Linked DNA regions of Arabidopsis thaliana. The protein of the gene in region 2 interacts with the protein of the main gene of each other region in a pairwise test. Each region holds a gene or a part of one and is shown on either strand. Other genes may lie near its edges.

Region 1 (3,932 bases), on a different chromosome or scaffold from region 2:
CGCATTATTCAGATTCCCAGAGTCGAGAGACTCGAGCAGAGATGTGTAGTACTGAAGCGCGTTAATCACACCGTTAGGGAACGGCGCGTCGTTGTTACGGTCGCAGCTTCTGTCTGAGCAAACGACGACGTTTGGTGAGATTTGCTTGAGGAAACGAAGTATCAATGGGAGGTAACCGGAGACCATGGAGCTGATTGGGAGATTCACAGCGATTGCTTCTTTCTCCGATGATCGGAATAAAGACAGTGGCCAATAAGTTGGATTCAAGAGAATCTCCATGTTTAAGAGCTCGATTTCGAAGGAGACACCTGTTTCGCCGGCGAAGCTTCTGAGATTTTCTTCAGTGAATCGGAGCTCGAATTCGTCGGAGACAGTTGAAGGAGAAGCGAAAGCTGTAATCTTTAGCGACGGAGCTGATGAAGATCTGTTTCTTTTTCCGGCGAGCTCTTGAATCAGAGACGCCCATTGACCTCCATAACCGATATCGAAATCGACAATGTGGATCCGATCAAACCCTTCGAATGACTCGAGAATCGTTTGGTTTGCTGTGAAGTTGACGAATTGAAGAAACGGTGACGTTTCTGAGAAAGCTCTGTAAGCTGCGATCCGAAAGATTAGGTTTTGAGGAGGTGAGAGAGACGGTGGTGATAATGATGAGTCTTGAAGGAGAGAGTGAAGAGCTTCTGTTATATACGAAGCTGCTCTGTGGAACGGAGGTTTAGGATTGTTGTTAGTGTCGTCGTTGTTGTTGTTAAGGTTGTGATTGAGCCGCGCCAATATCCCTTGCGCGAGAACGGGATTGTTATCTCCGCCGTTTGTGGTGAGCTCCGCCGCCGCAGAGAATAGCTGGTCGATGATTACCGCTGACTGGTCTTGGTCGTTTTGGTCTTCTCCGGCTATCTTTGGCGGTGTGAGAAACGGGTCGTGAGATTCGTGACCCGGATCCGAGAACGGGAAAACCCACTGGAGGTGTTGAGATCCGGGTTGACCCGAATTGAGCCGTTTCGCAGGAGGAGACGACGGAGGATCCGAGAAGAAACCCGGATTTGGGTTTATTGAAATCTGAAACTTTTCTTCTTCCGGTGCGTTTTGAAAAGGGAAGCCATATCCAAAGAGTGGATTAGGATTATCAATAACCGGGTCGGATCCAGAACCGATGTCGAAACCCACAAACTCCGAACCCGGATCCACTACATCGCCAGCCATGATTAATCTAAAAATACTCTGTTCTTGTCCCGGCGAGCCACCGGAGAGAACACCATCGAGATCCTCGAAACCCATTTGGTCGCATTTCCCATCGGCGCCGGAAAAAGTAGCAGCAGCAGCGCCGCCGCCGCTGGGACCACCGTGAGAAGAAGACAGCGTGGTGGTTGAAGAAGAGACGAAAGGGCTTGGACTTCTAACAGAGTCTAAAACAGACGTCGGCTCCGAGAAACCACCATTGTTGACAACAAAGCAGAGATCTTCTTCTACTCGTCCATGGAGCTTCTCTGGATTAGCCCAGATTTTGTATCCCGGAGAAGAAGAAGAATCTAAGAAACCCAGAACCCCCTTCCCTTGAAATTGCTCAAAGGGCAGGGGCATGACCAATCTTACAGAGTCAGAAAGAGAATTTAAGAGTGAGAACAAAGAAACCCAGAAAAACCCTAGATCTCAGAACTTAAAGAGGAAGACGAAGATGAAAGCTTGAAACTGAAATTGGCGCCCACATTATCTCACACTCGGTATTAATAACAATCTTTCTTCTCGTTGCTTATGTATATTGACTCTGGATGATTCCAACAACATTCCAAAGTGATGATCTTCATAAAAAATGCTCTCTTTTTTTTTTTTTTAAGTAAAGGATTTGGTTTTTGCTGTGTGTGTGGTGCCTTGTGTCTGTAGATTTACTTATCTACATCTGTACTCATTTTATATCCCCTCGTTTCTAACCCTACTCGCACTTACGGCGCGTCACTCTTACTCTCCAAGAGATCATTGATTATATAAGTTTAAGCCATGAAAATCGAAATCAAAGTGTCATTAATCGAATAAATTTAGCCTTAATCATAAATTGACTAAATTACTATGATGACAACATAATAAATAAGGAAAACACTGGATTGAGGAAAAAAAAAACAAGGAAACCAATAAATTTTATGCATATCGACAAAATTACTATTCTACATTTTTCGTAAATTTTGTTCGATTTATAAAATAAACTTGCATCTTGTAAAATAATTTGTTATTTAGTGAAATAGCAATTGGGTGATTTAATATATATGTGCAGTAACATGTTTTATATTAAATAGTATGATAGTAAAAATATACTTCATTATATATGTATAAAAACTAAGTCAAGGGTCAAATGAAAATGAACCAAAAGATTTTTGTTCTTTTTTCTTCAAACCAATAGATTTGTTTACTTAAAGGATGTGTCAAATGTTTGACAAAAAAAAAAGGATGTGTCAAATTTATTTTTGAAATTACAGGTAAAAAACATTTTGAGAGCGAAATCGTAAAAATACTTAAAATAGTCAAAATTATTTACTTATTTATTAAGAATATGGGATCATATAGTGTATAATTCATTAGATCAAACTAAATAAGTAATAGGAGTATGAAGAAAAGAAAGAAAATAAATTGAATTGTCGAAACCCAAAAACCTAAAAGAGTCAGTTATTAGTTGATTGTCTTACAGTAAGTAATTCAATAGTCCAGAACTGTTGAGGCGCGTTAGATAACGATCAATCTGAAAGACAGTACTATTAAAAAAATCAAAAACATATACCGAGGTTTCAGAGCAAAAAGCGAATTTGATACAGATGGCTTTATTGTTAATCATTGTTTTCCATAATTACCCTTGCTTTCTATTAACACACTCTGTTTTTTTTTTTTATCTAACGGTTGAAATTGCATGAACTCTGGAGAAGATCTCATGGCTCTAGTCTAGATTTTTTATAAACTAACTAATAAATGACATATTGACTATAAAATCTTGCATTTGCTAATCAAGTTTAATTTTGAACGACAAGTAGACACGGTCAAAACTAAAATTATGACAAATCTTTAGCCTATGTTAGTTGATGTTTACACGTGTTTGCGATAATCAAATCGTTTTATTCCACCATTCTTTTCTAAAATCATCTATATCATTTCTTCTTCTTTTTTTCACTTCTTTGACAAACTTGAAATACTTAAGTGGCCGTTTATTGGTGGCGGTAATAGAATAGAGGATACCAAAAGGAGATTAAAAAGAAAAGAGGTGGAGCTGGATTGCGAAGACAAGTTGGAACTTTTGGTAGTTTGTGTGTGAATGGAAGGGAGACATGGCTTATGTGATTGCCCTAAACATATTTCTATTTTTTAAGCCAAAATAATATAAAAACAAAAATCTTTGTAATTGGACATTGTAATAATGGGAGACATGTTTTTTTTCCTCCAAGACAAACAAGAAACCTCCATGTGAATTTCCACCACCTTGTAATATGTCTAACAACATGTATTCTATTAAACTAGTATTTCTTTCTGCTTTGTTGTTATATTTTAGGATTAAAAAATGACCAATTTGCGTAATTTAATCAACTCATTCTATACATTCTATAGGTTGATGACTGGCTAGTGGAGGGACACATCGACCGTGTGTTACCTTGCATACATACTCGTGATTCGGTTTCACGGAAATTCATGTAATTTGGTTACAGTGATATAAAACAAGTAAAAAAATTAACTTCGATGTAGAAATATATTAACCCTGTAACCAAATTATCTCAGTTTATGTCAAATGTCATATTTGCAATTCACTTCCACTATGTTTTTAGATTTGCTAATTTCCCAAAATAAACTTAAAGTCCTCAAAATAGACGGTATATAGTCTCCTTTGCTAACCTCGACTCACGGGCAAAGCTTTCTGTTTTCTCTTTATTTAAAGTTTTCAATTTTTATGTTCAGGA
Region 2 (3,932 bases):
TGATAGCACTATTATGAAGACCGATTAATTAAGTTTGAATCGGAATTTGAATTCTAAAAAGCCGGTTTATTTAAATGATTAAAATGCAACCTACGTCGTACTTAGTTGATTATAGTTTAATATGTTTATGGTAGTCACAAAAATTGTCTAATTAGTCGCATTTTTATGAATTCTTTTTTCTTTCCTTGTTGGACAAGGGATGCTTAACTATTATTATTCGTAGGGTTTTATGTTCAGAGACAATGTTTCCAAACGATTCATCTACATTTGACAGTAGAAAATCAAAATATCACAACAAAACGTGTGCTTTTTGCTTTGTAGCTAGACTGTGAATTAGCATTTTCTTAAGTTTTATTAATTTTAAAACTGTGAAAGGAAGCTAAAAGTCTAAAACCATATGCCACCAAAATGATCCTATTATAACTTACTGAATTTAAACATGCATTATAAACCATAATTTTGTAATTGATCTAAAAATAAAATAATAATTATTCCTCTTTGAAGTTGTTACGTTTTGGTTTTGGTTTCTTTATGTTAAATTTGATTTGCTTCTCGAAGTTTGAAGACAACTTTTACCTCTAAAATGACTCTTAAATTCTATGTTTTTTGTTGAAAAATATAGTTTGATTCCAATTAAAGTTTAGATATATTGCGATGTATTTTAAATCTAGTTATGATTGATATTAATTTTTTGAATCTAGTTATGGTTGATATTATTTTACTAAGTACATTATTATCATTTCTTTTTACAAACTGTATTCCGACACTTAATTTTCACGGTATGTTTTATAAGAGAAAATATCCGCAAAACATATTACAGAGTAGAATAAATCCTTTCTCCTTTATATTTATATTATTTAATACTTAACTCTATCAAAATATCCTCAACATTTATAAATATGAAAAACAAAATCAGTAGTCAGTGAACATAAAAAAAATTATCGAAAATTTTACGATGAGTAAAGATCCTCTCTTTATTTCTCAAGTAAAGCAATAATCAGAAAAAGCTAAATTGAGTTATCAAAAGCAGTTTATCTAACAAATGTTAATTAACTTTTTCTGGTTTAATATTATTGTTCACTAACCATGCATAATCGTATAACAACAAAAATAATCTCATTGGTACCATTACATCAAATAATAAATAGCGGGAAGATAAACATAGAAAAAGTGATAAAACAATCTGCTTCAAGAAAAAGATACCCCAGTGGACGACTAGGGTCAATGAAAATGAAAACAGAGACAAATGGCAATTCGTAATTATTCACATTTATTTCAGGGTACTTTCGTAAATCCCCAACCTGACCGTTTCTCGAATCTGATTACGTGGCAGTCATCACAAATGCCCACAAAAGCACTTCGCTGAAACTCAATCTCAGTCGTTAGATCAGAATCCAATTCTTTTCAATACGGCAAGTTGAGATCCCCAAACCCATCATGTGTAACCATGGTTAAGTCAATTAACCCAACACATAGAAATCTCCTAAAATCACCAAAAAGGTCACGAACTTTCTCGTTAATTACATAAAATGCCATTCTTCGCTTTAGCTATAAATTCGTCTTCTGAGACTCGCTAGGTTTGCCGAACCAATCACCCTAAGGGGACACTTAAAGAGAGAAACAAATCCTTCTTCTAAAATATTCTTCAATCTTCTTCTCGAAGCTTCTCCAAAAATGGCGATTACTTCTTCTAGAACCACCAGATCAAACGGATCTGCTTCGCTCCGATCCAAATCACCGTCCGGTCGATTCTGTGGCGTTTACTCAAACCGTATGCCGTCATCATCTCCGTCGTCGTCAGGTTTCGCTTCTTCCACAAGCTCAAGTTTCTCCTCACCGTCTACAGCGTTTTTCAGCAGCCACAATCAGAACAACCACCACCAACACAGATCTGCTTCTCCGACGCGTGTGAATCTATTCACATCAGCTCCGATGACGCAATCGTTTCGTTACTCAATCGATAACAGATCTATATCACCGAATCGATCCATCGCTGTTTCTTCCAACAAACCTAGCAATCATCACAAGATTCCGGATTCGAGGAGAAGATGTATGTGCTCTCCGACAACGCATCCTGGTTCATTCCGGTGTAGTCTACACAAGAACGTCGCGAATCCACATGGTCAAGGTACAGCTTCGTATACAACGAATGGATTGAATATGCGTCGATCTGCGATGACGAATTCTCTTGTGAGAATTGGTGGTGTTGAAGGTGAATGGGTGCGAAGAGCTTTGACTACTTTGATTAGACCATCTTCACATCAACTAAAGAGAAGATCTGCTTATGAGCCTCGTCGTAGTAGACTCGCATCTATGTCGAAAGCAGAAGATCTTTGAATCTCTCTTCAGGTTTGTTCTTGTTTTTGATATACTCAGATCTGCCATGAACGAGTTGAATCAAGGAGCAGAATCGGAGCTGAGTCATACCGGACCGAGTCAAATTCGGAGCTGAGTTATACCGGACCGAGTTATGTAAAACGGTGACTAAGACGACACCGTTTTTGTTTTGTTGGGTGGGAGATGAGATGATGATGATGCATTGTACATACACATATTGCTTATTGAAGCAGAACAAAAAAATTTCGCAAGTCGAAAGTATCTAGAAATCTAAAAATGGAAAATAGTAGTGACGAATTGGGTAATTAAAATCTGGAAAAGGACTTAGTAGTAAATATTGTTTGGATTCAACTTTGCAAATCTCTCCATCTCCATTGTTCGTTGCCTTCACCGTTAGTTTGTTCCGTCAAGTCAACGTTCTCTATTCTCCGTCGTTGACCCGTTCTGTTTGCCGTTAACCGTCGTCGTGTGTTATGTGTGTTCCGTTATTATTTCTCCAGGTATGTGTTGTTCGTCGTGTCAGGTATGTATTTTCCGTTTCTTATTTATTTGGTTAATTTCGTTTTACTTTTTTTGTGCACGTTTGATCTGTTTTTTTTTTTTTGGTTTGTCTTTTTCAGGTTTCGTACAATGAGGAGAAGATGATTACTTAACCGTTACGTTCAACTTTGGAATATTTTGGGTTTGTGGACTTTGGAAGAAAAATGAATTTGGACTATGAGAAAAATCAAATATATGACCTAAAACACGGAGAATTTGATAAAGGACGATCGAATATGAGTGATTTTGATTCGTGGAACGATTAAGGTTTTGGTTTTGGAGCTGGAGAATGTGAAAGATTCGAAGGAATCAGATTTTTCTCTGGAATTTGTGAATCACAGATTTAGATTCCTGAAACGGTTGAGGTTAAAGTGAAAAGATTCAATGAAATCATATTTTTACCATAAATATCTCAAGAAGGATATGGTAAATGATGAAATTCGTGAGGGTAAGTTTGGAAAGTAAAAGATTCTTGAACGGTATATATGAGAAAAGGACAGCTGGCCGATGAATTGAGAACAGCCCAACACGATTACGTTGGGGATTCCAACGTCTTCCTTATCTCGAGGGATTAAAGTTGGATTATACTATTGTATGCATAGGTCGATTTTATAGATCCCTTGATTAATTGGTTAATTAAATATAAACTATACTCCTTAGGTTTGCTTTAGTTGACTGATTATATCGTAATCTCTAAGTACTAGGTTCTGTGTAACCTTTTCTTCACGGTAGATGATGGATGCACTTTTTGTTAATTTGGTTTTGATTGTGTTGGATTATTCTGTACTTTCTTTACTCGTTTAGTTTACTTGACTATTTTTATATATCTGTAACTCTTTCTATATGTTTTCTCATTGTTTTTGGAAGTTGAATATGATTTACTCTATTTTCTTCTAAACATCATAAAATGATACGAAATTTATAATGTTTTAGGCAAAAAACGATCACGATTTTCTTAGAGTTCCTCTAGGACCACCAGAGGTATAGGCCAATTATGCTGGCTATTATTTATTTGGTTGATGTCAACACTACGAATTTTGGGTGCTTGGTTATTT

What was found.
Region 1: the proteins of AT5G25280 (region 2) and HAM2 interact in a two-hybrid assay, tested with the Arabidopsis thaliana proteins (one large-scale study listed by BioGRID).

What each region holds. Positions count from the first base shown.
Region 1 is NC_003074.8:22,410,784-22,414,715, forward strand, and holds the start of HAM2 (GRAS family transcription factor), read right to left. Parts: upstream 1,881-3,932; 5' UTR 1,585-1,880; coding exon 1-1,584.
Region 2 is NC_003076.8:8,772,208-8,776,139, forward strand, and holds the start of AT5G25280 (serine-rich protein-like protein), read left to right. Parts: upstream 1-1,581; 5' UTR 1,582-1,674; coding exon 1,675-2,337; 3' UTR 2,338-2,837; exon of another isoform or gene 2,838-2,957; 3' UTR 2,958-3,932.